7 linked regions of the Ovis aries genome follow. The protein of the gene in region 5 binds, or shares a complex with, the protein of the main gene of each other region. Links are inferred from orthologs where the notes say so. Each region holds a gene or a part of one and is shown on either strand. Other genes may lie near its edges. The genes, in order: RGS2, TRPC5, RGS8, GRM4, GNAI3, RGS10 and CASR.

What was found.
Region 1: the proteins of GNAI3 (region 5) and RGS2 are in contact, whole or in part, in a crystal structure (PDB 2V4Z), measured with the Homo sapiens proteins. The link is inferred for Ovis aries from reciprocal best matches to the Homo sapiens genes GNAI3 and RGS2. Residues at the interface, in NP_006487.1 of Homo sapiens: Val179, Lys180, Thr181, Thr182, Gly183, Ile184, Val185, Gln204, Ser206, Glu207, Lys209, Lys210, His213, Ala235, Glu236, Asp237, Glu238; in NP_002914.1 of Homo sapiens: Glu104, Phe105, Glu108, Asn109, Glu143, Ala144, Pro145, Glu147, Ile148, Asn149, Asp151, Phe152, Leu180, Asn183, Ser185, Arg188.
Region 2: the proteins of GNAI3 (region 5) and TRPC5 are in contact, whole or in part, in a cryo-EM structure (PDB 8GVX), measured with the Homo sapiens proteins. The link is inferred for Ovis aries from reciprocal best matches to the Homo sapiens genes GNAI3 and TRPC5. Residues at the interface, in NP_006487.1 of Homo sapiens: Arg205, Arg208, Lys209, Trp211, Ile212, His213, Phe215, Glu216, Glu245, Leu249, Ser252, Asn256, Lys257, Trp258, Arg312; in NP_036603.1 of Homo sapiens: Thr27, Glu32, Glu33, Glu56, Ile57, Tyr58, Tyr59, Asn60, Lys125, Pro128, Thr129, Leu130, Met131.
Region 3: the proteins of GNAI3 (region 5) and RGS8 are in contact, whole or in part, in a crystal structure (PDB 2ODE), measured with the Homo sapiens proteins. The link is inferred for Ovis aries from reciprocal best matches to the Homo sapiens genes GNAI3 and RGS8. Residues at the interface, in NP_006487.1 of Homo sapiens: Glu65, Gln68, Ser75, Val179, Lys180, Thr181, Thr182, Gly183, Ile184, Val185, Gln204, Ser206, Glu207, Lys209, Lys210, His213, Ala235, Glu236, Asp237, Glu238; in NP_001095920.1 of Homo sapiens: Thr76, Glu77, Phe78, Ser79, Glu81, Asn82, Ala117, Pro118, Glu120, Val121, Asn122, Ile123, Asp124, Phe125, Gln126, Arg128, Leu153, Lys156, Asp157, Ser158, Arg161, Arg164.
Region 4: the proteins of GNAI3 (region 5) and GRM4 are in contact, whole or in part, in a cryo-EM structure (PDB 8JD6), measured with the Homo sapiens proteins. The link is inferred for Ovis aries from reciprocal best matches to the Homo sapiens genes GNAI3 and GRM4. Residues at the interface, in NP_006487.1 of Homo sapiens: Ala31, Lys32, Val34, Lys192, Asp193, Leu194, Thr219, Phe336, Thr340, Ile343, Ile344, Asn347, Leu348, Cys351, Gly352, Leu353, Tyr354; in NP_000832.1 of Homo sapiens: Pro616, Lys619, Ala620, Gly622, Arg623, Glu624, Arg676, Ile677, Ile680, Phe681, Gln683, Gly684, Lys685, Arg686, Ser687, Val688, Ser689, Ala690, Ile694, Ser695, Pro696, Phe781.
Region 6: the proteins of GNAI3 (region 5) and RGS10 are in contact, whole or in part, in a crystal structure (PDB 2IHB), measured with the Homo sapiens proteins. The link is inferred for Ovis aries from reciprocal best matches to the Homo sapiens genes GNAI3 and RGS10. Residues at the interface, in NP_006487.1 of Homo sapiens: Val71, Val72, Ser75, Glu115, Val179, Lys180, Thr181, Thr182, Gly183, Ile184, Val185, Gln204, Ser206, Glu207, Lys209, Lys210, His213, Ala235, Glu236; in NP_001005339.1 of Homo sapiens: Glu62, Phe63, Ser64, Glu66, Asn67, Ala102, Ser103, Ser104, Gln105, Val106, Asn107, Val108, Glu109, Gly110, Leu137, Lys139, Tyr140, Asp141, Ser142, Arg145.
Region 7: the proteins of GNAI3 (region 5) and CASR are in contact, whole or in part, in a cryo-EM structure (PDB 8SZH), measured with the Homo sapiens proteins. The link is inferred for Ovis aries from reciprocal best matches to the Homo sapiens genes GNAI3 and CASR. Residues at the interface, in NP_006487.1 of Homo sapiens: Ala31, Lys32, Gln304, Glu308, Lys314, Asp315, Thr316, Lys317, Glu318, Ile319, Tyr320, Thr321, Phe334, Asp337, Ala338, Thr340, Asp341, Ile343, Ile344, Lys345, Asn347, Leu348, Glu350, Cys351, Gly352, Leu353, Tyr354; in NP_000379.3 of Homo sapiens: Lys644, Ala645, Asn647, Arg701, Val702, Val705, Phe706, Ala708, Lys709, Pro711, Thr712, Arg716, Trp719, Phe801, Ile869, Val872, Arg873, Thr876, Ala877, Ala880, Phe881, Lys882, Val883, Ala884, Ala885, Arg886.

The regions. Positions count from the first base shown.
Region 1 is NC_056065.1:11,623,186-11,627,618, reverse strand, and holds the start of RGS2 (regulator of G-protein signaling 2), read left to right. Parts: upstream 1-1,570; 5' UTR 1,571-1,599; coding exon 1,600-1,709; intron 1,710-2,726; coding exon 2,727-2,828; intron 2,829-2,929; coding exon 2,930-2,991; intron 2,992-3,557; coding exon 3,558-3,724; intron 3,725-4,005; coding exon 4,006-4,200; 3' UTR 4,201-4,433. UniProt on the Homo sapiens protein: Regulates G protein-coupled receptor signaling cascades. Inhibits signal transduction by increasing the GTPase activity of G protein alpha subunits, thereby driving them into their inactive GDP-bound form.
Region 2 is NC_056080.1:122,884,215-122,888,312, forward strand, and holds the start of TRPC5 (short transient receptor potential channel 5), read left to right. Parts: upstream 1-1,245; 5' UTR 1,246-1,375; intron 1,376-4,098. UniProt on the Homo sapiens protein: Forms a receptor-activated non-selective calcium permeant cation channel. Mediates calcium-dependent phosphatidylserine externalization and apoptosis in neurons via its association with PLSCR1.
Region 3 is NC_056065.1:63,188,919-63,192,982, reverse strand, and holds the start of RGS8 (regulator of G-protein signaling 8), read left to right. Parts: upstream 1-1,146; 5' UTR 1,147-1,371; intron 1,372-4,064. UniProt on the Homo sapiens protein: Regulates G protein-coupled receptor signaling cascades, including signaling via muscarinic acetylcholine receptor CHRM2 and dopamine receptor DRD2.
Region 4 is NC_056073.1:8,389,736-8,393,370, reverse strand, and holds part of GRM4 (metabotropic glutamate receptor 4), read left to right. Parts: intron 1-1,929; 5' UTR 1,930-2,304; coding exon 2,305-2,823; intron 2,824-3,635.
Region 5 is NC_056054.1:86,826,851-86,830,485, forward strand, and holds part of GNAI3 (guanine nucleotide-binding protein G(i) subunit alpha-3), read left to right. Parts: intron 1-1,585; coding exon 1,586-1,776; 3' UTR 1,777-1,798; intron 1,799-1,889; 3' UTR 1,890-3,635. UniProt on the Homo sapiens protein: Heterotrimeric guanine nucleotide-binding proteins (G proteins) function as transducers downstream of G protein-coupled receptors (GPCRs) in numerous signaling cascades.
Region 6 is NC_056075.1:39,197,856-39,202,069, forward strand, and holds the start of RGS10 (regulator of G-protein signaling 10), read right to left. Parts: upstream 2,920-4,214; 5' UTR 2,841-2,919; coding exon of another isoform or gene 2,792-2,840; intron 1-2,791. UniProt on the Homo sapiens protein: Regulates G protein-coupled receptor signaling cascades, including signaling downstream of the muscarinic acetylcholine receptor CHRM2.
Region 7 is NC_056054.1:187,548,622-187,552,256, reverse strand, and holds part of CASR (extracellular calcium-sensing receptor), read right to left. Parts: intron 3,369-3,635; 5' UTR 3,133-3,368; coding exon 2,945-3,132; intron 520-2,944; coding exon 213-519; intron 1-212. UniProt on the Homo sapiens protein: G-protein-coupled receptor that senses changes in the extracellular concentration of calcium ions and plays a key role in maintaining calcium homeostasis.

The sequences.
Region 1 (4,433 bases), on a different chromosome or scaffold from region 5:
AAGAATTGCTGCTTTCAAATTGTTGCACTGCAGAAGACTCTTCAGGGTCTCCCAGCAAAGCGATCAAACCCGTCAATCCTTAAGGAAATGAACCCTCAGTATTCATTGGAAGGACTGATGCTGAAGCTCCAATACTTTGGCCAGCTGATGCCAGGAGCAGACTGACTGGGAAAGACTCTGATGCTGGGAAAGATTGAGGGCAGGAGAAGAGGGTGGCAGAGAATGAGATGGTTAGATGGCATCACAGACTCAAGGGACATGAGTTTGAGCAAACACCAGGAGATGAAGAACAGGGAAGCCTGGCAAGTTGCAGCCCATGCGACTGCAGTCAGAAATGACTTAGGGACAGAACAAAAGCCTTGCTGTTAATCTGCCTACTTAGATGCTTCAGGAAAAACCACCTGAATATTCCACTGTACAATTCTAATAACGGTATTTGAACTCAAGTCATTTTGGAGTGGCAGTTATCTACTTACCCTTACCAATCAAACCACTTAAATCCTGCTACAGCAAGATGATTTCTGACGAATCAAGACATTAAGCTTATTCAAAGAAGCTGTAAACGCCTCCCTCCCTCCACCCCCATCTCTCTTTTTTTGCCAATTAAAGTGTTCTGGCAAATTCTAAGCCAACTAAGAGTGACTCAGGAGGAAATCCTGCATGCTTGCTCTTTTACACTAAAATGATTCTGGTGCACGATAGCTGCGAGCTCGTGGTGTTTCCTTGTTAAGAGCTGTGATTTCTTTTTTTGTTCTGGAAGGAGAAGCAGCCAAGGACTCCTGAGAAATAAGTCTGCAACCCCACGGACCGACCCAGCCACGAACCTGCTGGTAATCAAAACCGCACACCCAGTTAAAGCACTTTCTCCTCTTCCCTCCCTGACCAATGTGCATTCCCCACAGAGCTCCAGGATGCTTGGGCACGCTGCAGAACAGATCACACCACTGCCCCTGGACTCTCACTGTTCCTCCCATTCTGTTTCCTTCCCCAAATTAAAAGGCGTCTCAAAGAACAGGTGAGGGTCAGTTCTCACATCAAGAAAGGAGGCGCGGAGCGAGGGCTTGCGCTCCAAAAACACATCCCCTTTTAAACCTAATTCAAAATAAGGTTACTGCATTCGGCTTCCCAATAAACAACCTTTACCTGCTTGGAATCACGGCTCCTTTGGGGGTCAGGAGCTCTGGAGCGCGGGGGAGGGAATGAGACAGGGAAGAGGCGGGGAGCGAGCGCCCCCGCCGTGCCTGCAGCCAACCTGGCTCCCTGCCCGCCACGGCCCTGCGACCCCACGGCCGGCCGCCACGACTGGGCAAAGGTCGCCTTTGACCGTTCAAAAGGGAATTTTCTCTGACCCCACACGAGGGCGGGCGTCCGGCCCGACTGCGCACGACGCCCGGGAAGCGGACGTCAGCGGGCCCCGGGTTTCCAGACCCTTCGGCGGCGCCCGTGACCGCGCGGCCCGCGGCCGCCGTCGGCCAATCGGTGCCCGCCGGGGGAGGGACCGGCGCCGTGAGCCCCGCCTTCGCCCTGCCTCCAATTATATAAATACGGGTGCCGGCGGTCCGGTCTCCCCAGAGCGGCGTTCCCAGGTGGAGGGAGATAATGCAAAGTGCTATGTTCCTGGCTGTCCAGCACGACTGCGGACCCATGGACAAAGGCGCTGGCACCGGCCCCAAGAACGAGGAGAAGCGAGAGAAGATGAAGCGAACCCTGTGAGTGCGGCTTTCTTCCTCCCTGACTGGCCGCCCCTGCGGACCCAGCTGTCCCGGGCGGCTGCAAACGCGGTACACTCGCGCTGGGCATGGGAACTGGGTAGCCTGCCTGCATCTCTGCAGGAAAAAAAGAAAAAGAAAAAATGTGTGTGTGTGTGTAAAAGGTTAATTTGTGAAGTTACGTTTAAACCTGTGTGGTGTAGGTATTTATTGAAGGACTCGGGTAGAGTTTAGAAACTGCAGAAAATTCTTGATGCAGGGGCGGAGATAGATGCTGGTTGGCTTTTTGTCTCCCTGCATCGAAAATGACTTCGGAGAATCCTGCAGCCACGCGCCCCCGGCCTTCTTGAGAGGCACCGTAAATTCTGATCTGCTTACACGACTGCTGGGATGGAGATATTTTTGCTGATCCTAGATATACTTTTAATTTTTTTTAATTGAACAGCAAGTCTCACCCACTCAAGAGTGTGGAACAAATAATTGTTCTGCATCACCTTCTTAAAATGAGTGCTGAAGTTGGGGGAGGGGGCGGTCAATCTCGCACACACACTTCATTGTGCACAGCTTCTCGGGTGGTCCCAAGCCCCCTGCTCTGAGAGCAGAAGGAAAACGAGCCTGGGCTGGCTCAGGGCAGGTCCACTGTGGGCTTCCTCAAGTGTGAAATGTCTCAGAATTGTAATTAACCGTTGCAGAAAAACTGGCTGCCTTTTGTGGGCCAGAAATAGCATCTGCCTTTGAACTATGCAAACTAAATTCATTAAAATACCCTATAATTGTAGGTCGTCCTATCCTTACTTATAAAACTAATAATTATGTTCAGATGAGTGGATGAAACTAGTGTGTTGAGTACTTAGATGCTGGATTAAAGGAGTAAGACTGACTGGAGGAGTTGTTTTGTCTTATTTGGCTTGTCTATAGCTACTGGGGGCGACTTTATTTGGTAAAAATGCCTTCAGCTGCAATGGCAGTTTCAAGTGTTGCTGCTAAGTGAGTATCTTTTTTTTTTTTCTTTTGTAGATTAAAAGATTGGAAGAGCCGTTTGAGCTACTTCTTGCAAAATTCCTCCTCTCCTGGGAAGCCCAAAACTGGCAAGAAAAGCAAACAGCAAACCTTCATCAAGTAAGTTGAAAATCTTGTGCTTGCCAATATGCACAGCTCACTGCTGAGCTGAAGAGGGAACCTCTGGCTAGCAGGAGCTGATGTGCAGACTTCTTTTGCAGGCCTTCTCCCGAGGAAGCCCAGCTATGGTCAGAAGCATTTGATGAGCTGCTAGCCAGTAAATGTAAGTTAACCTCTTGAATTGGATCCATTTCAAGTATCAGGAGAGTATGGTTTGGTTGTGTCTACACAGCAAGAGCAGCTTGCCCAAGGAGAGTTTGACTTTACAATCCCTGTTCCATGGGGCCTATTTTTCTCCTTTATTTCCCGGTGATTAACCAGGGAAATGCGTGGCTTTTTCACTCTAGGTGGGGAGTGGGGGGAAATAGCCCCAGATTGTAATGGCAGTTGCTGTCTCTTAAGGTTGAGTCAGCTTTTCCATTGCAAACAATGTTTTCAAGCGGCTTCATTCCCAAAGAACTTATGGCTCCCCTATCAGTTGTGTTAACAGCAAAGCTAAGTTTATATTTTTGTAGTAGTGTGCCAACTCACGCATTTTGCTGACTGGCATCTTAGTCTTTAAAGAGCTAAATTTTGACAATTACAGGTTTGAGTAAACTCAAGAAAATTGCTGCCATCTGGCAATAATAAAATATGGGACCAGGGGAGTGGGATTTCTAGGAAAACACATAAGGGAATATTTGAACACTCAATGCAGTTTCTGCATGCTTTCTTCCTTCCCTCCCCCAGATGGTCTTGCTGCATTCAGGGCTTTTTTAAAATCTGAATACTGTGAAGAAAATATTGAATTCTGGCTGGCCTGTGAAGACTTCAAAAAAACCAAGTCACCCCAAAAGCTGTCCTCAAAAGCAAAGAAAATATATACTGACTTCATAGAAAAAGAAGCTCCAAAAGAGGTAAAGGGGGAAAAAGTTCCTTATTTCAGCATATTTTGAACATCCTCAGCACCAAAGTGAAAATAATTTAAAGAGACCTCAAGTTAAAGGGGGGTGGGTGAGTAGGCTGTTTTTCCCCTATTTCTGGCTCTCAGTGAGGTTAATTATATTTCTTCACTGACTTAGCCGGTGACACTGGCCACACATTATAGTTTGGGGGTTTTTTTGTTTGTTTTCAAATACTACATATATTTCAACTTCTGACTCTTAATGTGGAATAAAACTTTGTTGTTTTCTTTCAGATCAACATAGACTTTCAAACCAAAACTCTGATTGCCCAAAACATACAGGAAGCTACCAGTGGCTGCTTCACAACTGCCCAGAAAAGGGTGTACAGCTTGATGGAAAACAACTCTTACCCGCGTTTCTTGGAGTCAGAATTCTACCAGGACTTGTGTAAAAAGCCGCAGATCACCACAGAACCCCATGCCACATGAGATGAAAGCAGGAGCCCAGAAACGGAGGACTTTTCATTTTTTTTCCTAAAAGGGGAAAGGCTGTCACCTGCCAAAAAGACTGACCTTGAATTCAGCCTGGGTGTTCAGGAAACATCACTCAGAACTATTGATTCAGAGCTGGGTAGTGAATCAGGAAGCTGGTCGCCTCGTAGGAGAAGCTGGTACTGGGTCGGCTTCCGTAACTGATGGAGCACAGAGAGAGAGAGTGTGGT
Region 2 (4,098 bases), on a different chromosome or scaffold from region 5:
AGCCCAGGTTGAGCGGGGTAGGGGTTGGGGGTCACAGTCCAAAGTAGGGGCACTCAGGACAAGGGGGCAAAGAAAGACTCTGCCAGCCAGGCGTTCTGAGGTGCTCCAGTCCAGTCCCCTCTACCGAAAACCACCACGCTCAGCCACCCAGACTCTGCCACCACCCAGGGGAGGGGAGGCCCGGGGAAGAGCAAACGAAGGAAACAGAAAATTCCGTACCGAGGGGGGAGAGATGAGACGGTGGGACAGGGCAGCGCCGGGGCTGCCTTGGGGTTTCGGCTGCGGCTTCCTTCCACCCCTGGCTACCGAGTTGCAGAGAAGCAGGAGCTGCTGCCCCTGCAGGCTGCCCCATCCTCCCTCTCCCTCCTTCCCTCCCCCCTGCCCGCTTCCCCCGCCCCGCCCCGCCCGCCCCTGCCTTGAGCTCAGACTGTGTGAGGCTCCAGGTCCGGACTGGGGGAGGTGAGAGGTGCTTTCACCAACAGCGGCAGTCTCCCCCACCCCACCCCACACCCCCGCCCCCAATCGCGACGGGTTCTTCCAGCTTGCAGCCACCCAAAGGAGAGGAAAAAGAAAAGGAGCAGAGGAAAGCCAGGAGCAGATAGAAGCGAAAAGGAAGAGCTCAGGGTTGGACATTTTTGGAGCTGGGGTGGGGAGGAGAACAGGAGCGCGCCTCCTCGATTTTACCTCCCCACCCCTCTTTGCTTCTCTCTCTCCCCCTTCGTTGTATAGCATTTTTCAGAAGCGGCAGCAGAAGGGGACAGAAACCTCTAGTCTAGAAAGATTCGGAAGGGTGACCGGGGCTCCCGCCAGCCAGTACCTAGCAGCTGGCGCAGGAGTATGCGTTTGTGCATGTCAGAGTGCGAATGCTGGTCTCTGTCTCTTCCTATGTCTTTTCTGTCTCCTTCATACTCCCGCGTCAGCTATCTCTGTCAGTTTCCCGTGTCAGTTTCTTCCCGTGCTCTCACTGTGCAGTACGCTGCGTGAAGGGGGTGCGTGTGTTTGAAGGCACCCAGGTTGGGTCAGCGAGCCGGGAGAAGCTAGCGGGGACAAGGCAGGGGCACGAGTAGAGCAAAGAGTTTCGGGGTGCTGACGAAGGCGAAAGGTGAGCAGAGATGGCCAGCCACTGGGAAGTTTGGGAATGACTGAAAAGCGAAGGGAGAAACCACGCTAGGAGCGGGCACTTGCGCGCCTCGCCACACCCCGCCCCTTTCCCTGTGCTCATCCGCCCACCCGCCAGGCAGCCTCGAGGCCAGGCTGGGCTGTCCCAGGCGGCTGCTGTTGGCGCGCCGAGGGAGAACCGGTAAGGTGGCCGCACCGAGCTCCTTGGCTTCCAGACGCCAGACGACGGGGATCTGAACAAACCACTTGGTCTGGGGTAAGTCAACAGGCAGCCCAGAGCCTTATGGCTTTGCTGCCGGAGCGCTGCCAAAAGGCAGCGAGGTGCGGGATTGAATGAAGGTGCAGGGATGCTGAGGGCTGGGAGGTGCTAGCTGGCTGTGGGCTGGGGTGGTGGGGGGCAGAGCGAAGCCAGCAACAGATTGTTTTCGGACACAGGGAGAAAGATATGGTGGGACTCTAGAGGTGTTAGGACAAGGTGGCTCTTGACAGTGACCAAAAACGTTGTGTTTATTTGGGATGTTCCTCTAAATCAGCTTGTCTCTACCCCGGACAGTGATCTGAGATCAGTATCGACCCGAGAGACAGGAATGGAATAAAGACACTGGCCCTTTTGCCAAAAGCCACTTTAAGATGTGGAAAGCCAGGGGTGAGCTCATGAGGGCTCAGGAATCAGAGCCCCCATTCACCTTCTTTCTGTTTTGTATCCATCAAACTTACTTACGAAATGGCCAGATTCATTTTCCTGGCTCCTTAAAGGAATCAGGAAATACAAATGGGGAGACATCAGTCAGATCTCTGCTCAAAGTAGACACCCCTCCCCCCAAACACACACTGACTTGGACAAACAGTCATGATGGTCCCCCTCTTCAACACACACATAGGTACTGAGCTGTATTCACAGATCCTGATCTTTCTCCATGGTCTCTAAGAATGAAACTGGGAGAAGGGCTTTCTCCCCTTTGCCAACCTGGGGTCTTCTGGCCATAATCAGGTATGTGGTTGGTGATGGCTACCAAGGTTATTACTCCCTTGTGAAAAGCCTGGTGCTAGGAAACCAGTTGGGAAGACAGGATTTCTGAACTTTACCTGAGTTTATCATATGAGTAGAAGAGACAGGCTAATCAATAATGCACCCCTTAAAGACTGTGTGTGTCAGCCCTGGCTTCAAATGAGAAATATTTACTCCACTGACATGGCACTCAGATCCACTTGTCTATTTCTATACATTTATTTTCATGGCATTTAGCAGATATGTAAAGTTTACATCTTAGAATTCGTCCTTGTCTATTGTCAGTCTCAGGGTTTTGTGTTTTTTGGTTTTTTTTTTGGTGTTTTACAGATGTTGGTGTTTGGGATTATATCATGTTTCTTTTCCTATAGACTCTTAAAAAGCTGTGATATAAATGATGTTAAATGGTACCTTTCACCCAGTCTTTAACATTTGCTTATTCTAAATCAAAGACATGGAAATACATTCACACAGTACCAAGTTGGTCTCAAAGCAAATGTTTAGCCTAGGATAAAGAAAACCCACAAGGTTTCTCTATTTGCAAGGTTGAAGGAAAACCTGAATGCCACATGAAATCTGTTTGGTTCCTGGAAGATGCTGTTTTCACGAAGTTCTGGCATAGATAGATAGATAGATAGATAGAGTGTGTGTGGCGCTGCTTTCATAAAGTTGTAATACATATGGTATGTGTGTATTTTTTCAAGGACTCAGATCAACCCCATACAATCTGGGCTGTATGCTGCTGTAGCCGAGGGGGGAGTATTTGAATTTGTGCTTCCAAAGCATCCAGGCTCTTCTGTTAAACTGTCTATTTATCATTATGTTACTGGAATACAATGAATTACCCCTTTCCAACTCAGCAAATGAGAGAAACAGATTTTGCATTAAGTGGAACTGTTTATGTTGCGTCAGGCAATTTGTTCTAATGCTCACTGCTGAGAAAGAGAACAGAACAAGGATTATTCAAGTAGGATCTGAAAAGGTGCCCATTCTGTTACTTTTTTAGGCCATCATAAGCAAATATCTTCATAGGTTAAAATTACACTTTCCCATAAATAGCAAAGACCAGGTTGCAGACAGGTAGGAAAGAATCAGCAGCTTCCTGGTAGGGAAAGAATTGAAAGTGTCAACAGGAATGACACCGAAGGTGTGGGTCTCTCTTGGTTGAAAATCTGGTTGCTGCAGTGGATCCTGATCCATGGTTCCTCAGGGCATAAGGAGGTGTAAAGCGTGGGGATCCAGAACCAGGCAGTCTTCAGCTGTATTGACAGACATTCCCCTAGCTATAGTGTATACACCAATATAGAGACCTGGACCAGATAACATTTGCCATTTCTACCAGGATTGAGAACTATATTCCTACAATTCTATTCTTTCTAGAATTAACAACCAGAACGAGAATGACACACAGAACCACAGTGCTTAGAGAAGGCCAGGCCAGAAAATGACAGATGCAGTGGGGATGAAGAGGAAAAGGATAGGACAGAACCCAAAGATGTTTTGAAACACGGAAAGAAAACCATCCAGATGTTTGCTTTCTTTTGCTTTGGCAGGGGATGGGGTTAGTCCAAAACACTGCTTAGGAAGTGAAGCACCCTAACATTGCCTAGCCTATGGTTTACCTTGTAAACACTGTAAAACAGAATTACATAGAACCTGAGAACGGGAGCCCCGGAGTAAATTTACACTTTTACCGTCTCATTCCACTCATTAGCATATTAAATTCCAATCTATGAGCCATTCAGGTGCTTAATTATTGAATGGATAATTTCAAACATGTCATTCTATTGCCCTCCAGTCTGCTTCCAAATATTTTAAGTTGTCTTGACCATGGCTCCATCACTGAAACAGAGGGACAAAAACATTTCTGTCTGCTTTACTTCTGCCAAAGCTTCTTGTTTTCAGCTAAGTACACAAAACCATTCAGAAGCTTTCTGGGAGCTGGTGGGGAATATGAGGGACAGGACCTT
Region 3 (4,064 bases), on a different chromosome or scaffold from region 5:
TGGGGGTCATCTGGGGCGGCGCTGGTCAGGGCGTGTGGACGCCGGCCTGAAGGAAAGGAACTAGCTTGTAGTGGGAGGACGGGTCCCTGGAAACCTGTCGCAGTTCTTGGCCCCTGCATCCCCCTCCCTGCCCTCCGGAGAAGGTCCTCATCTGAGATCTCTCTCCGTTCATTAGCTGTGCTCATCGAGTCTCCCCAGCTGCACTTCCTCTGGTCTTTTCTGGCTTTGCTGTTTATTTATTTGTTCCCCGTCAGCCTCTTTCTCTGGCTCTGCTTGTAAACAGAGCCGATGACTGTCAGCTCCAGGGCCTATGTGGTGAACCTGGTGCCCCCAAGTGGGGGCAGCAGGTCTCATAGACTCTAGAATCCGATGCCAACGGTTATTTATCCCTGACCCTCAGAAGCTGCTCCAGGCACTGGCCCAAGCTGTCCACAAAGTTTTTCTCCTGATCATCCAAATGGAACTTTACAGACAGAAGCATCACATGACATGTTCTCTCTGTCCCCTCCTAGCCCTCTCTCTTGGTCCTTGTTCTTGCCACCATACCCCCATCACAGGTTGGGCAGCTGACCGGGGGGCACCCAGGCTGGCCTGTGGTGTGGAGTGGCAAATAACACGAAACGTTTCATGCATTACACTCTTCCCTGGCTGATTTTTAATCCTCATTAAGAAAGTTAGAACTGGGCTTCCTCTACCTTGCCCAGCCATCCCAAAGCCAGAGTATCCTTGCTGGTTGGCTATGGCAGGAGAGAGCTCTTTGAGGCTGAGCCTTTGTCTTTTGCATCCATCCCGGTCTGTTTTTGAGGCGAGGCAGGTTCTCCTCTCTCTCCTGAGGCCAGTTACCCTGTTTCACCCCCTTCCCTGCTGTGCAACCCTGGGGGACCACCTCTGCCTCCACTTCCACCCTCAGACCCCTGGGGGCTCTGCTTCTCCCTGCCTTCTGCAGCGCACTGGCCCCTCGGAGGCAGCTGCCAGTGAGCTCGCTGTCAGCAGGAGAGCCTCATAGGCAGTGCCATTCTGCTCGAGTCTGCGGTCCTCCCCCGACTCTGCGTGGCAGCGCGCATCATCTGTCAGAGTGCCCCCTCCCCTCCCTCCGCTTCCCCACCCCCTTCCCCTGGCGCTTGCCGCCTTCCCGGTTCATGAGATGCAAAGCCCGTCAGGCGGGTGAGGAGCCAGCAGGAGCCGCATGTTACAGCCGCCCTGCTAGGGGTACCCCCCCAACTCGCGGAGGTGAGGTGAGCCGCCCCTCGGCAGCCCTCTCCCATGTACCAGGAAGTGGATGACTCGGTCACTCTGGGCTTCACTGAGCCATGCCCAGCTGGTACCGGCGCCAGCCAAACCTTCCCAGCTGCACTGCCCTTCACCAGACAGGTAAGAGAGAGCTGCTGTTCCAGCCGGGCGAGAGGGTCCCCGAACTGGCCCTCCCCAGCCGGCCATCCTGAGCCATGAGTCTTGCTGGGAAGTGCAGGGCACTCCAGTGCAGAAAAGGCGCTGTCTGCCTGTCATAACCCTACCATCCCATTTTCTAACAGAGCTCCTTAGACAGACTGGGTTAAGCCAGTCACTCTTGCCAGGAGCAAGGGTGCAGGAACATGCCCATTCTTCCTGGTCAGTGGGTGCTAAGCTGCCAATATCCTGTTTTTGTTCTTTCTCCTCCCCTGAAACCTCCTTTCTGGTCCAAGGGGACGCAGTATCTCCCCGCAGATCCCTTCGGGGGCTCTGTGATTATGGTAGATTGCTGCCTGGACCGTGACACTGTTTCTGTTCGTTTCATTCATGTCTTTGCTGTTGTGTTCGGCGGATCGCCGGCACAGCAGTCTGGCTGCCCACAGCATCTGTTCTGTTTCCAGACAGCGTGCAGGTCCCCTGTGCTGCTGGTGACTAATGCTGGTGACACATTCTGATGCAGGAGAACTCACGATCACAGTGGGTTCAAGGGAGATCAAAGTACATCGGAGGTCACTGATTTTTTTGCGTTTTCAGCTTTATTGAGATGTAGTGACAGATAACATTGTAATATGTTTAAAGTGCCCAATGGGATGATTTGATACATGTATGCATTCTGAAAGGACTCCCACCATCGAGTTAATTAACACATCCGCTGGCAGGTCACCAACTTCTAGTTTCAAATATTTTCCCACATTTTTATTATTGCATATAATGTTGGAAGAATATCATAGAGTTTTGTTCACATTCCGGATTGTTTTCTTAGACATAGTCTTAAAATGAGACTTTCTGGGATGGTCTTTTTTTTTTTTTAACTGATACAAGTGACATCTAACATCGTTTTGGTTTCAGGTTACAGTGTAATAATCTGATATATGCATGTATTATGCAAAGATCACTGCAGTTAAGTCCAGTTAACTTCCATCACCACACGTAGCTGCAATTGTTTTTTTTAGGAGAGGGCAGGTCACCAATTTCTAAGCAGTGAGTTGAGGACAGAGTAAACGTCTATAGGAGGTGTTTTCTTGGCATCAGCTTCTCAGAGCTGTCTAGGGGGGCGTGGAGGAGAGCGGCTTTTCTCTGTGCTAGAGTCATTCCATCTCAGCCTATTGTTTCACTCCACACTTAAAACCTGGCTGAAGGTCCTTATAGGTGTTTATCTTGGGATGCTTTCAAACTAATGAAATAGGAAGGAAAGCCTACCCCTTCCTGCAACTTGGGTTATTTTTGGATTATTTGTTCCCACAGTTTTGGAAAACTCCAGGTGTTTTGGGGAAGATGCAGGAGGTGCTGGAAAGTGGGGGAGTGAGATTACCGTTATCGAGAGAGTATCTACGTGCTTGGGGGAAAGTTCAAAGCTCTAACTGGCAATGTGTTATTATGCTGATGATGGCTTTTACTTTTAGTTTGGGAATGGTATCCCTGTGAGCACTCAGTCAGTCTGGCAAACTGTTTTTATTAACCATTTGCTCTTTGCTCAGTCCTTAAAATAGGTGTCCTAGTAGAAGATTGATGGGAGAGGGGTGAATGGGGATTGGAGAGTGTTGGGTGACCCCTAGTCCACCGTGGCCTGGCCGAGGTAAGCTGCTCCTGGAGACCCTGTTATTTTGGCATTAAAATTTTTTCTCACACAGTGCTTTATGCACAAAGGAATCTTAAAACTTTCTCATGTTCTTTGTCCATTTGAATTAGACTTTCGCTTGAAGCCAAGGTCTTTCTCCTATGGATCAGTGAGCTTCAACCACAAGAGTCATTTCACAAATGCCAGGGACTCCCAAGGGATTGAGTAAGAGGTAGATGGTTGGCTGCACAAGATCCATCATATTACCATTTAAAAAATCCTCCAAATGTGGGTCTCAGGGATGAGTCAGCAGTAGCAGCAGTACTGAATGTGATGCAATGTTGTATAGAGTGGAAAAAGCCCTGGGGGTCCTGGGTTCGAGTCTCCCTAGGGTCATTAATTGAATTACCCTGTGCCCTTCACTCAGGGATCCTGTACAGCTTTGTTTTTATCATCTGTAAAATGGGTACAATAACAAGGGCCCAACTTACCTCCAAAAGTTTTTATGAGAATCAACTAAAAAATGATGATAGCTGCTGGTTATCAAGATGTGCTGGGCAACTTTACTAGGTATTTTCCTTACATGATGCTGTTTAATCCTTCCAACTTCCCTAAAACTTAGTCTCCAGGAGCTTAAGAAACCTGATCAGCTAAAGAAGTGAAAGCAATTTTTAGGTTTTGGCAGTGCCATACAAATATAAGTTTTGTTGTGTATCACGACTTCATGGCTTAGGATATTTATCCTGCTAATCCTTTCCTAGGCTCTCCCGTCCCATATGCTTGCTCATTTCATTTCTGTCCAAATACTTACAGCTCCAGAGCCACTAGAAACGCTCCTTGCTTTTCCTGTCTTGAAAATTAGAATACCTTTCACTGTTCAAGAAGCATCAACATTCTCACCAGAACCTTTATCAGGACCTTTATTCTCTGTTTGGAATTTCCAAAAAGCTTTTGAATCCTTCAATAAAAGGTCCTAAAAAGAAGAGGGTCTCAGAAAAGCTGAATGGCTTAAGGTAGATTCCTACCAGGGCCTTGTCTCTCAAGGAAAAGTGTCAGA
Region 4 (3,635 bases), on a different chromosome or scaffold from region 5:
ACTGTCCTGCCCACGTCCCTGACTGGATGCAGGCTAGTAGGTGACTCCCTCCCTTCATGGTGATGACTGAAATGCCCCCGCAGGGCCAGGATGGCCTCCGGACTGCATCTTACTCCAGCCCATCCATTTTACAGATGTTGAAACTGAGGACTCCCTGGGGGACAAGCGTGGCCTCCAGCAGGGCAGCAGTGGAACTGCAGGCTGGTCCGGGACTCCTGTTCTTTCTTGTTGGAATTGCCTAGAACCGGCCTTGGCAGCCAGCACCCCACAGCACCCCTCACTCCCCAGAGCTACCTGGGAGAGGCCTCAGATAACTCTCATGGAGGTGTGAGTGCTCTTGAGGGGTCCGCACAGGTGTAGCTGCCCCTCGCCTGTATTTTGACAGATCTTCAGCCCTCCCCAGAGCGCTGACCCCCAGCCCTAGGTCACTGGGTCCTGGCTTCCTGCCGGCCTCCCCAGGCGCTCTCGGTGTGACAGGTGCTGGATCTGAGCCCTCACCCGCCTTGAGTGGGGAGTCACCTGGTCCCTCTGGGAGACTGCTTCACCTGCAGAAGGCTGCTGAGGAGAATTACGAGCCCTCCTCTTGGCCTCTGAGGAGTTAATGGAGGGGGCAGCATTTGGATGAGGGGCGAGATGTGAGGTGAGCGTCCAGAAGGCGCTTGCTGGAGAAGCCCAGGAGCCAAGGCTGGATCCTGGGGGGCGGTCTCCCATGCTTCCCTGCCCTTTCCAGAGCCCTGGGAGCCTCTGGTGGGGATGGTGGCTCTGAGCCCCAACTTGGTCTTCACGGAGGGACCACGTCTCCAGAGAAGCCTCCCAACCCAAACACAGGCTCTTTCACACGGGTGGGGAGACCGAGGTACAGATCAGGCAAGCGGCTGCTGGTCTTCATTTGACGGATGCACAGGGAAGGGGGCCTTGAGGTCGCCCCCCACCCCGGACCCCGCCCTGACTCAGCTTTCAGCCTTTCTCCCCGAGGCCTCCCAAGTCGAGGGGAGGGAAGTTGCTGGCACCGAGGGAAGGCTGGGCCCTGGGAAGGAAGCCCTGGGGAAATTAGCCCAGATTAGCAATGAGAATGAGGAAGAGCTGGTGTTCTCTCCTCTCCCCTCGCAGATAAATATTTAATCACAACAACAATAATAATGACGGTCATCGTAATAATGTGCACTAGCTCAGGCCAGAACCTGAGCCTGCTCTTAGAGGGAGGAAGTGGTGAAGAGAAATGGAGAGGTATAAAGACCCCTGGGGTGGGCGGGGGGCCCAGCAAGAGAAAAAGAGCCTCCGCTGCGTTGACCCTCTGGTGGGGTAGCAGGGCGCCTGGGGCAGAAATGGAGGGTCCACCCCCCCCAGCTCCACCAGCCCCAGCTTCTCTTGGCCTTCAGACTAAGCGGCTCTCAGCCTGACTTCTTCTGAGGCCCTGCTTTCTTTCCTCATTTCCGAGTCCTCAAGGAGCCTGTGTGTCTGGTTCCAGAACTGGGGGCCGGGCATTGGGTTTCAGGCAGTGTTCTGCTGTTCGCCCCCTGTGTAACTTGGGCCAAGTGCTCTCCTGCTTCGGGCCTCAGTGTTCCCATCTCTGAAATGGGTTGTGTCCAGCGGGGCCGGTTTTTGCGTGCTTGCTCCTTCCTGTGGGTTCCTGTTGAGAGGAGACCCCTCTTCTTCCTAGGTCTCCGGGGGTCCCCTGGGGGTATATTCTCTGAGGCCTCTGGTCTGGCGGCAGTGGGCACCAGGAACCTTCAGACATGACCCAGTTTCTGCCTTAAGTTCTCTCATCTGCACCAAAGTCGAGCGGCAGTGGAGAGGAAGCCAAGTTCAGGAGGTCTGTGGTGTCTTTGCCCACAACCTCCAGCATCTCCTGCTCCCAGGCTCCTGATGAAAGATGCGAATAGCTAATGTCTTCTCTGGCTTCTCTGATTCTCTCTCTCTCTTTCTCAGGTTGGTAAGAGGAGAGCTCTGGAGCTGTTTTCTCCCTGATGCCAAGATCTGCCCAGCTAGGAGCACTCTCCACCTTTCACGGTCATCCACTGAGAAGAGGCCTGCAGGAAGTGGGGACCAAGATCAGAGCTTTGCTGCACCCCAGCTACTCCCTGCTGTCCGAGTGCAGCCTGTCCCACAACTGAGCGTCGCCGGGGGCCGAGGTACACCAGCACGGTTCTGCCCGTTGGCCGCCCTCAGCCACCCTGCTGCTGAAGCTGCCCTGGAGAGACCAGTGGGGGCCGCTGTGCCCATGCTCGTCCAGGCCGTGGGGCCTGGGGCCCGCCAAGGCTAGGAGCGAGGCCTGCCATTCATGGGTCTCTAGGGATTTCCGAGATGCCTGGGAAGAGGGGCTGGGGCTGGTGGTGGGCCCAGCTGCCCCTTTGCCTGCTCCTCAGCCTTTCCGGGCCCTGGGTGCCCTCCTCCCTGGGGAAGCCCAAAGGCCACCCTCACATGAATTCCATCCGCATAGACGGGGACATCACTCTGGGAGGCCTGTTCCCAGTGCACGGCCGGGGCTCGGAGGGCAAGGCCTGTGGAGAACTCAAGAAGGAGAAGGGCATCCACCGGCTGGAGGCCATGCTGTTTGCTCTGGACCGCATCAACAATGACCCGGACCTGCTGCCCAACATCACGCTGGGCGCCCGCATTCTGGACACCTGCTCCAGGGACACCCATGCCCTGGAGCAGTCGCTGACCTTTGTGCAGGCGCTCATCGAGAAGGACGGCACGGAGGTCCGCTGTGGCAGTGGTGGCCCGCCCATCATCACCAAACCTGAGCGCGTGGTGGGCGTCATTGGTGCTTCCGGGAGTTCCGTCTCCATCATGGTGGCCAACATCCTTCGCCTCTTCAAGGTTAGTGCCTGCCCAGCTCCTTTCTCCTCTTCTCCTCCTGAATCCCAGGGAGAGAGTGTGTTGCTCCCCAATACCCACATTGGTGTGTGAGAATCTGGGGCTGACTTGCCTGTGGTCTGAGAGAAGGTCCCAGCTCAGTGGAGCTGGCCGTGGTGCTGAAACAGCACCTGCTGCAGGCAGCCTTTTGATCAGCTCTGCTCCTCTGCGGGGAATTCTGAACCAGGAGGGAAAGGAAGTGCTGCTGAACAACAGGAGGGAGGAGGAGACAGGCGGACAGAGGTATAAAAAAAGCCCCAGACAGATGGATGGACAGAAATATAGGTAGATAGAAAGGTACACAGGTTAAAAGATAGACATAGACTGGAAGTGTGAATGTTGGAGATTGCCAGGGAGAAAAAGCAAGACTTTTGTTTTGACATTGTTTTCCAATAATTGCAATTCCCAAGAAAGATCTGTTTTTTTCCTCTGGGTAGTTGAGAAAGCCCCGTGTGGCCCTCCCGCTCCACCTCAGGATTATAGTTAGAAAATGTGTCCTGGTTTTTTGCAGGAGGCATTAGCTCTCAGCCCACAGTGACTGGAGCTGCGGACAAGAAAGGCCTGGAGGAACGGGTGGTCCCATCTCTGGTGCCCTGGGTCCCCAACGGAGCTTCCCCGGCTCATTCCTTTCCTTCTGCCCCTCTTCCTTGCACACCTTTCTCCCTTCTGGAGTCCCTCCCTGCCCCCTCTCTGCCGCCCCCCTTCCTCTCTTCCAGGGGCAGGAGCTGCTGATTTGCAATTCAATTGGAGCCAAGTGCTTCGCTAAGCTGCTAAAA
Region 5 (3,635 bases):
GGAGGAAGATGAAAGTGAAAGTGAAGTCGCTCAGTCGTGTCCGACTCTTTGCGACCCCGTGAACTGGGGCCCACCAGGCTCCTCCGTCCTTGGGATTCACCAGGCAAGAATACTGGAGTGGGTTGCCATTTCCTTCTCCAGGGGAACTTCCCGACCCAGGGTTCGAACCCAGGCCTCCCGCATTGCAGGCAGACGCTTTAACCTCTGAGCCACCAGGAGGAAGATGAGAGTTGGTTAAGTTTATAAAAGGTAGCCAGATTTTAGAATGGGAGAAAAATTTTAAGACAAGTAAAGGATTGATGTTAATGTTTCAGCTGGGAATCTTCACACACAGCAAAGAGTTGTCAATATCTTATCCATTTTTTGGTAGGGGGTGGGATGAATTTCCAAGCCTGTTTTCCATTGCTGTCATTCGTAAGAATTTTCACATCATGTTTTGGTCATCTGTCTAAATGTTTGCCTTTCCGCATTCCTCATGGGCCAGAGAAGGGGGCAACAGAGGGATAAGATGGTTGGATGGCATCACTGACTCAGTGGACATTAATTTGAGGAGATAGTGGAAGAAAGAGGAGCCTGGCACGCTGTAGTCCATGGAGTTGCAGAGAGTCAGACATGACTGAATGACTGAATGACTGAACAACAGCAGCTGCTTTAATTTACAGAAGTTCTGTACATCTCAGTAAATCTTATTCAACCACCTACCAAGCTATCTTCCTTCCTCTTTTAAAATATTGTTTAAATAATAGTCATTTTTTTCTTAAGCTTTCCTTTGTTATTTAGTCTTCTTTATATACTTGGTTGTTGATATTTTTTGGGTCATGCTTAATGTCACTGAAAATAGCCCCTAATTCTCAGGCAACTGTGTGTTGTCTTTGTTGAGTTTCCCTGGCTCTGTAGCCAATTTCTAAAGCTATTCTAAAAACTCACAAGTAAACAAGATTGTTTCGGAAGCAAGTGATTAAGAGTGTTAATTTCAAATGTTGTTGAAATAGGGTTACTTTGGATAACCCCCTCTTTGAAGAAATAACAGATTTATTGAGATCTTCACGTACCATAAAACGCACCACTTAAAAGTGTGCGATTCAAGCCCCTTCCCATTTGCATCTACTGATTACCTTTGGTTATTTAAACTATTGCTGTAAGGCTCTGAGGCTAAGCTCTGTTAAAACTGGATGATTTTGAAAAGAAGCATGAGTTACCCTTTTGAATTGTTTATTTCAACATGACCCAAGGAACACAAGTTCTCTTAACTTTTTAAGCAATTGTGTTCTTCTAGAAATGCATCCTTCTATTTCCCTAGTTTCTTTTTATACTTTCTAAATTTTTTAGCTAAAAAAGGCAAATAAAAGGGAAAAAGGAAAAAAGCTTTGTTTTCCTGGATCTTTGTGATAAGTTTACTGACAATGAGATTGTGCACTCAAGAAACATGTGATTATAGAAAAACCTAATGATTATAGAAAAATAGGAATCTTTATTTCAATTGGGTTATAGTCCCTCTCTCCATAAGTAAATGGTGATGGCCTGATTTAATTGAGTTCAGGCAGCTGTTATAATTTGAACTAAGAATATTGGGTGTCTGCCTCAGGTTCCAACACATATGAAGAAGCAGCTGCGTACATTCAGTGCCAGTTTGAAGATCTGAATAGAAGAAAAGATACCAAGGAGATCTATACCCACTTCACCTGTGCCACAGACACCAAGAATGTGCAGTTTGTTTTTGATGCTGTAACAGATGTCATCATTAAAAACAACTTAAAGGAATGTGGACTTTATTGAAGAGTGTGGATGTTAATAAAAGGTAAAACTTTGAAAGGTTTAGTTATAGTGCTGTTAGTGATGTCTCTTGACTTTGTAAACTTTTCCTAATTACAGCTGTTTTTCTTTTCTAGTTATTACGGTGTGGAGTGTTGAGACCAGACTTCCTTTGCTGCCTCATTGGGCAGCTGCAAGCATGAACGGGACCAGGGAATGGCAGCAGCATGCAGAATCCTAGCACTCTTTTAGCACAATCTTCTGTATTAGGGAACTCTTAATTGACACAAGATGCTAAAGTCAGACATTGGAATTGGAGCAACTGTAGTATGATTTGATCATCGAGACATGACTTGGATTTCATAGTCTCAAACGTTTAGGGCAGATGTGAAGTTGAGGTGCTGCATTCCAGAACTTCAATATGTAGCTTACTGTTTTTCTTCTTCCCTCTTGACAAACCACCAGTAGTTCATTTTTTCAAGTTTTTTTTTTTCATTAAGGGAAGAATAACTTCACTGAATTTTATTTTTTTGTGAAAGAACCTTTATTAAAACACAATCTTAACTATGCACATGATGTGACCAGATCATCTTGAAAATATTTCTCTTAGTAGGAACACTTTGTTTTTAACTCTAGGTATGGTCAGAATATAATATTTCCATAATAACTTAATTCTTTTCAGTTATTTGGGCTCTAATTATAGGTTTTTTGGTTGAAATTTATGTTACTATCCTGCTCAGAGTACCATTATGGTTTCTAAATGGCAGTTACATTGAAGAAGTCTATAGTAAGATTCAAGCTCTGTCTCTTTTTTTTTTAAGCTTGTGGTTGAAGGTTAACCTAGTTTATGCTTATCACCAAATTACGAGATAAATGCTGATGTAGTATGATAAAGTCAGCTTCTTGGATACAGACACACCCAGGGCAGCTGTCAATTAGAAAAGTATATTGCTAAATTCCAAACAGAACCAGTGACTTTGCTGCTGCATATCTGCTAAATTGATCACTTTGATTCTTGCTTGTTTGTCTCAGTCATAGGGAGTTCTGTAAAAGATGCCCCATGTTTTCCATCTTCCATTGGCCTTTTCTGTTGAGAAACATCTGAAGTGTATTAAAAAGTGCATGCTTTTACTTTGTAAATGTGGTGCCAAATCCCTGTTTGCCATTGTTTTTTTTACTGTAGCAATGTTGATTGTAGTAATCTTTAGTCAGTACCTTGTTTTGCTGAAACTATTGATTTGGGGACTTTTTTCTACTTTGTCGTGTGTACAGATTTTTAATCTGTTATAGTTGACAGCAGTATTAAAATGGTGAGTAAAGAGTCCAGGTTTGTTCCTGTTTGTAATTAGTCCTTTCTGGAAATATTTTCTTCTGCTGTTTTTTGCCCCTGCTGTGTGCTTAGGCCTTTGTCTGAGAATGGGTTTAGGTAGAAGGGTTCTCTGAAGGTCTTAAGTCTTTTGGTGTATAAGTATTGTTGAATCTTGGCCTGACTGAGGTTGTTATGTCATATCTGTATAAGTGATGCACAGTCAAAACCCATTTTCCAGATTTACATTTTGGTTTTGTGAAGAGCTCTTTTCACGTCAGCCTGCAGGTCCTTTTGTGCAGTGTACTGCAAATGGCATTAAATATTGAATGGTCCATTAGGGGAAGGCAGATGAAGAGAATGCAGTTTGAGCATTCCAAATCAGTAATTTGAGTAGTGCCTTTTGGGGTCCAGTCTTTTTGGATTGGATTCTATTTCATCTTTTGATGTGACCTTTCAGTAGTTTTAAAAAAAGGTTGGTGGTCATCAAAGCTGGTTCAGAAAGCAAGCCACAGCAGTTCAGTGCCTTTATTGGTAGGTTTTTTTCTTTTTGCTTTCTTGGGAAAATTACAACTCT
Region 6 (4,214 bases), on a different chromosome or scaffold from region 5:
GAGAAAAAAAAGTTCAGTCCAGGGTCCCCTGGATCACTTGGCTGGCTTCCCAGTGCCTTTGCCTCAGGGCCCACATTCCCCCTTTCTCACTGCTGGGTGGTAATGACCAAACTTGCAGAGGCTCGTTTGTCCTTTCCTATCCAGAGACGGACGTTAAACCTAAAAATCATAAAGAAATCAGGCTCCTGGAAGCCAGACACTTAACACCAGTCCACGATTTTTAGCTATTGATCTTTCTATCAGTGATCCAACCACATTTCATCAGCCTTAAAATGTGTTACTCTGAAAGAGGTACACTTCACTGGTATTCCTAAAACTGCCCTAGTCTTTCCGGGGTACAATCTGCACATATGCAATAGCACCCTAAAACTATGTGTGATCCATAATTCATTTGTTCTATTTGGAAGACCTCACCCCAAAAGCGACCTGTGCAGGGATGTTCAAAGCAGCTCTATTTATGATAGGAAAAAGGGGGAAAAGGTAACAGCTAACCATTATACTCAGTTATGCCAGGCACTGTACTGGAGACTTCATATATATATATATATATATATATATATATATATATATATACATATATACATATATATAATATTATATTATATATATGCTTTTGTATGTTTGGTTCCACAATTCTATGAAACCCACTGTACAGATGGGAAAATGGACACATAAGTATGCTGGTAAACCAGCTTTCCTAGAATAAAAAGATTTAAAAAGAAAACGTGATTTTTAACATTTGCTGATTTCCATGGTGGAAATGGCCACTAATAGCCAATTTCGAGCTACCTATGGTTTAGCAACCAGGTTCCAAATTTCCCATTTAGCAATGGGCTCTGAGGTCAAGTAACTTGCTCAAGGCAGCTGAATGCTAGGGTCAGGGTAGGAACCAGGGGTGTAAGTAACTTCCGAGTCCAAGCTCTGACCACCACTCCTTCGGCCTGTGAACATCCAACAATAGGGAATGGCTAACTCGAACAGTTCAGACAGTAAAGAATCTGCTTGCAATGCAGGAGACCTGGGTTTGATCCCTGGGTCGGGAAGATCCCTTGGAGAAAAAAAATGACTACCCAGTCCAGCATTCTTGCCTGGAGAATTCTATGCACAGAGAAGCCTGGTGGGCTACAGTCTATGGGGTCGCAAAGTCGGACACAACTGAGTGACTATCACTTTCAAAGCAAACACCCAACAGGGAAATCCTTTGACTCACAGGCAACACAGAAAGGTTTACATGACCCCTAATACTAACACTAATATAAGCAATTTACAGTAACTCTGTGGAGTCCTACTTTGAGTTGTTCTCAATATTAGAGGGAATAATTTGCAAAATATGATGGAAGGGAAAGCAGTTTCAATTCAGCGTTTAAGGAGCGGTATTTTATTGCCATTATGCAGATCCTTGTCTGAACAGAGATAGTGCCCCCAGTTGGAGAAGGAAATGGCAACCCACTCCGATAATTCTTGCCTGGAGAATCCCGTGGACAGAGGAGCCTGGTGGGCTGCTGTCCACGGGATCGCATAGAGTCAGACACAAATGAAGCGACTTAACATGCATGTACGCATTGGAGAAGGAAATGGCAACCCACTCCAGTGTTCTTGCCTGGGGAATCCCAGGGACGGGGGTGCCTGGTGGGCTGCCGTCTCTGGGGTCTCACAGAGTTGGACACGACTGAAGCGACTTAGCAGCAGCAGCAGTGTGCCTAGTAGTGGAGGGGGGACTTGGACTCAGTCGATCTGCTTTCAACTCATCCTCTTAACCACAGTCTCATAAAATAAGACACGAGGTGAAAAAAAGATAGGGGCCAACATGTACAGACTCTCTTGGTACCAGCAGAAGCGACTCTTGGAGTGGGAGGTGGCAGAAAAGCCTCTGAACTCCAGAGTCAGGCTGAGCTGCGTTTGAAAGATTCTCCACCACCTAAGTGTGACTTGGAGCAAGTTACCTAACAGCTCCCTGGTGGCGAGGGCTGAGGACAATGCCTATCTCAGTGGGTTGCCCTAAGGGTGAAGAGAGAATTCACAGAACACGTACTGGGTCCCACTTGGAGCGCTAAAAGGGGCTGAGCTGCAAGGAACAAAAAGGGTGAGATGGTTGGAATCAAGGGATGGTTTCATCTTCACCACGAGCTCTTCGTCCTATCGAATCGCTCCGAACTGTGGTTGGTCCAGAGTGACAGGCTGGTCCAGAGTGACGGCCAAACTGAATCCTTTGTAACGTCTGTTGTTTCCTGGCGCGAGCTGCAGATGCGCCCTTCACCTGGTATTCACCGTCCTTCTCCGCCCTACATTTCGGCTCCTCGGCGCAGAACCGAAGACGCCCAGCAACCCAGGCCAGGCCGCCCAGTCGGATCCCCCGGGTCCTGGGGTTCCTTCCGCGGGCTCCGCGCTGCGCACCAACACCCGCAGCGGAGGCGGAGACCTCCAGAACTCGGTTCTGCTTTCGGAATCTAGAGCCCATACTACCTCCAAAGTCTGGAGGTGTTTTGGATCTCCTTTTTCTCCCAGACCATCACTAAAAAGAAAACGGCTGATGTTCCTCCTTTCAGACAAACTTCCTCCCCAGCGCGCGTCTCGGGACTCAGCGCTCCCGCCGCGGCTGGGACCGCGGGGACGCTGGACAGAGCAGGGAGAAGTGGCGCGTCCTGCCCGGGGCATCGCTGAGCCGCGCCCGACCCCGGGCAGGAGGGAAGGATGCCCGGGGGGTGGGGCAGGCAGCACCGGCCCGGTCGGCTCATCCTGGCCCCTGGGGGCTCCCCAATCCCCAGCCCGCGGAGCCCTGGAAACCGCTTACCTGACGGCGGCCGCTTCCTGCTCAGTCGACTCACAGCGCGGTTAAACATCGCCGCGAGCACCCCGGGGAGGAAGGAGGAGCAGCCGGGCTGCGCGGCGGCTGAGCCGGAGGAAGGCGAGGAGGAGGAGGCCAGAGGAGGAGGAGGAGCTGGCTCAGCACCGCCCCGGAGCGCGCAGCCCCCACCCTGCCGCCCTCCGCCGGGCCAAGCGCCGCGTGGCGCGATCAGTGCGCCCTACCGGCCCGCCCCCGTGGGGCCCCCGTGGTCCCGCCCCGGGGTGCCTGGGCGGGCAGGGCGCACCCGGGTGACTCCCAAACGCCGGGAGTCCAAGAGCCCGGCCAAGAGCCCAAGAAGGCGCGCACTCGCTCGGAAGTGGCCCGCGCTGCCCGAGACTTAGGAGCCTTGCCCTGGCGGTTCGCGCGTCCCGGGGATCCCTCGCCGCCTGGCGGGGTTCTCCAGGGATGCCGCCCGAGCCCCGCCCAGCCCTGCCCGGCTCCCAGCTCCAGCGCCCGTCCCGGCCTCCAGCCGTTTTCCTGCAGCCCCGAGAAACGGGCGCAGATCCTCCGGCGCCCTGCGCCTGGTGATTCCGCGCGCTTTTGCTGGGCGGCAGGTGAGGGTCACCTCCTGGTTCCGAGACCGGAAAGCCGAGATCTCGTGGTTCTGCAAAGCCCAGGTGCAACCCACGGCCTTCGCCCTCTTGCCCTCGGGTTCCAGGATTCCTGCGCTCCCCGGCCTACCCGACACCATGGGAGTTGGGCCCTCCCACGGCCGCGAAAGCCAGCGGGAGCGTCGCCTGGCCCCGGGCCGCGATGTCCGCGGGCGAAGCGAGCCGAGCCCGCGCGGGTGGGCGCCCTCTCCCGGGCCGCGCTGCGCGGGCACCGAAATTTGGGCGCCTCCTGCCCTTGGTCTTGAGGCTCCAAGGGCCGACCTCGGGAGAATTCCGTAGGACCCCCTCCGGTCTCAGCGCTGAGCGATGCCTCTGCCCGTCACGCCGGCTGGCGGGAGACCCTAACTTGGGGCGCCGCTCACGTGGTGCACCTGTCGGCAGGGCCTTAGCGATCAACCCTGGAAATCACTCGGGCCACACTGAGCCCTGCTTCTGATTCCTCCTTTCCCGCCGCCGGTCACCTGCTCTGCGTGGCCAGCTCCACTCAAATCTATCGTCTCATTTCTTCTGCAAAACATCCCGAGAAGGGGTATCATTAGCCTCACTTTCTTGAGGATCTGGTTTACGAGGAATTGTCTTTCTGGCAGTCCTATTTTCCTCCTGTGTATCTGGCTTTGTCTCTAAATTGGTCTTTATTTTTAGCAGTACTAATTGCTATTTTTCTCAACTGCTGCCCAGTCGTCGGTCCCCCCTCCAACCATCCTTTCTCAAGATTTTCACTAGTTGGCACTTTCTTTTATATCTTCTGTTCTCAGCTT
Region 7 (3,635 bases), about 100 Mb from region 5:
TTGGAAGAATTGTGAAGGTCTAGTAGACATTGGTGGGGTCTCAGAAATCCCCAGTGGTCATAATACAGATAATTAAAAGATCTTTGGTGCCAAAGTAAAGCCAGAGAAAGGAAAATAGAACAGCAAACTGTATCAACACTGGGTGTGGCATCCTCCAAGCCTGCTGCTCCTGATTCCTGCCCTCATTGCCCCATCTAAGGCAGCATGGGTACCTGGGGGATGTAGAAGAGCCCCAGCAGGTTGGCCACTGCTGTGGAGATGCCTGAGCCAGTAGCTCCCACCACTGCGATGGTAGAGGGGATGTGCTCTGAGCAGTTGCAGAACTCATCAAGGTTCAAAGAGTCGATTTTATTCTGCGCCACAAAACTCAGGGTGGCCTCCAAGGCTTTAGAGACGGTGTTACAAGTGTCGAATATCCTGTATCCCAGGGTCATGTTGGGAAGAAGGGCTGGACTGCTGTTTATTTCCTCTATGGCAAATATCATAGCTTGTAACCAGCGAAATCCTCGGAAATTATACCTGGAAGAAAGAAGAAATGGAAGAAAGCAAGAGGCTTTCTGGTCAACTTTTTTAGAGTACAAACCGGGCAAAGCTGGGTTTGAACCTGGCTCTGTAACTCTAATTTCATGACATTGCCTTTTCTGAGACTCAAAGTCCTCTCTGTAAAACAGGGATAACACCTACCTCAGAGGGAGGCTGTGAATATGAGATAACGACACAAAATTCTCAGTGTGGTGCCTCACACAAAGTTAGAGATCAATAATAACAAGGATTGTGGTAATAGAATGAATCACTTTTTATGCATCATCCAGTAAAGAATCTGAAGTACCTGATATGAAGTATTTCAATAACAGTACTACAGAGATTTAAAAAAAAGGATCAGGGAAAATATAAATAGGTTAGGATTTTAACTCATAGGAACCTAAAACTAGTTTCAGATTTGCAGTCACAAATTTGAACTATGACATTTCTGGAGGCTGAAGGGGAAAGAGAAATGAGTGATCTCATCTTCATAAACAAACAAGCAAACAAACAAATACTATGCGTAGGAAGCTGTTCACAAACAGTGGTCACTTCTGGGTGGTAGAATGATGAGTTTTAACATTGTGTGCTTTTTCTGGTCTCTTTCATACTTTGTATTTTTAAAAATGAGCATGCACTGCTTTTCAAAGAACATTATTTTAAATAAAAATCAGGCAAATGAACAAAGAGAAACAGGGTCTGTGACATAGCTTTTGCCCTCCCAGGACACAGCACATAGTGAGAACTTGGTAAGTGTTCTAGGTCTGTATCAGCGCCCAGAGAAGAAAACCTAACAATTTTGCAGGTTCTCTCTTTGTATTGTGGGTTTCATGACTTGAACTCAGGGGCAGGGGGAAAGAAATATAAGTTGTTATACTTCACTGTATCAGTTAGCTTCCCAAAGTTCCTGGTCTAACTTTTAATGTGACATTTTCTCTTAGTAATATTTGTTCATATATCCTTCATTTGTTTATTTTTAAACCTGGAAAGTTATGAAGACATATTATAGAATTTTTCATTACACAAAACATCTATACTGCTCAACTGATTTTCCTATCTTTGTGTGTGAGTGTGTGTGTGTCTGTGCACATGTGTGCTCTGTTGCTCAGTAATGTGTGATTCTTTGCTGCCCCATGGACCTCTGTCCATGGAATTTTCCAGGCAAGAATACTGGTGTGGGTTGCCATTTCCTTCTCCAATCTTTCTTTAATACAATTAATATATACGTATTACTTCAGGGCAAGCTCTTATGTGATCTCAGCTATGTATGTGGTGCCTGCACAACTCTGTCCTGTAGGGTACAACAGAGAGGATATATGTCCTCATGGATTATGTGAAGGTTATAAGCAGCATCGTCAAAACTCTGCACTTAGCTTTTCTGCACTCATTAAAAAAATGTGAGAATGTTATCTAATTTGTGAACCCTCCTTAGAACATGAGCAGAAAACCAGTTTTGCTGGAACAATTATATTTTTCGTTTTCATTTTCTATCTATCAGAAAGACAAAGGAGAAGTGCTGGATCCCATCTGGAAGTTGTAAGTTTCAAGAGAAAGTGCTCTTCTCTCTCAGAAGACGGGTCAAGGCTTGAGGTGTAGTAACGGTCTCTGATGTTCAGATTAAGGGTGGTGATATACAGCCTACTGTCCTCTGGAGAAGTCAGACACTATTTGAAGGAATTGTGCCCAGTGTTAGATGCCAGAAGAGGAGTCATGATAAATTAGGGAACATTAGACACAGGGCAACCAGAGTGGTGAGGGTCTGAAAATCATGCCATGAAATAATTATTTAGAAAACCGAGACTGGTAGGTCTGGAAAAGAAATGATTCAAGAGGGCATGTTAGCTGTCTTCTAGTGGCTGCAGATAGAGTCCATGCAGGAGTTAGATGGATTCTGTGTCAGCAGGAGGATTTCAGCTTTCTATAAAACTTTCTGATAGGAGTGGTTCCAAATGCTATGGGCTGCATTTTGAAGATGCCTGGGTCATGCCAGTCACTAAAGCTTCTTTCAACTTTAAAATCCTTAAAAAAATCAGAGTGAGGCAGCCAACACTCAATTATGACCACTGGGGGCACTTAAGGTCAATGGGAGGTTTTACTACTCAGGTTTGCAAAAACCTACAATAAATTTCTTTCTAGGTACTTAATCTTCCATTAAGCAACACTGCCTCCAGGTGAACAGTGATGACTCAGTTACCCAGTGACTGAGCACAGGCTCCAACAGCCAATGGGTTTTTCTATTTAATATCTTTGACATTTGATTTTTGGAAAAATTTCTTTTAAAAAAATGAGGGGAGGGGATAATAAGCATCAGCATGATGACTAATCACCATTTTTGAAAAGAGAACCAACTTTGAAAAAATTATTTTGGGTTTGGTACAGCTTTTCTCTAACCACCCAGAGGAGAAGCAACTTCTGACTTTACCTGATACACTCCACGGACTCCGGCCTCGACTTTAGATCCTGATCTTTCGCTGCAACCCCAAAATGAATAGGAAAGAGCCCCCCGAGGATAATGTCCCCTTTCTTCTGGGCTCGCTGGTCAGGCCCATAGGCGGAAGTGCACCAGGTAGAAAAAGCCAAGAGGATCCAACAGCAGCTATAAAGTGCCATAGTTCTGCTTTCTCTCCAGGGAGAGGGACACGAGTGCCGGTGGTCTGGGGCCCCCTGAGGACTTTTCCCCTTGGTGCGACTCACTCCCTGCAGTGGGGGCACATGTCTACAGAATTAATAGAATGGAACCGTGGTGTTTGAATTTCCATTTCTGCCTTCTCCATTGCAGACTAGTGAGGTGGGTGGCTCTTGAGTCTTCAGAAGTCACATCATGCAGAGACCGTGCGTAGTACTTTCTAAAAAAGAGAGAGGAAAAATGAATTCAACTAAGCCTCAACCCCATGTTAGGATGACTGCAACAGAAATGGCTCAGTATTTCCATTTAGAGAGGCAGGTGGGGAGGGCATGGCTTAGAGGCTCATGTTTATGGCAATTCTTGTAAGATACAGAAAACTTCGCTTGCCCATATTCAGAGCAGAACCATGTTTAAAGAGGCCACTGATAAACTAAAGCTCCACTGATGTTGCCACTGAATTTTAATCTATTCATTCTTCCCTATGAAT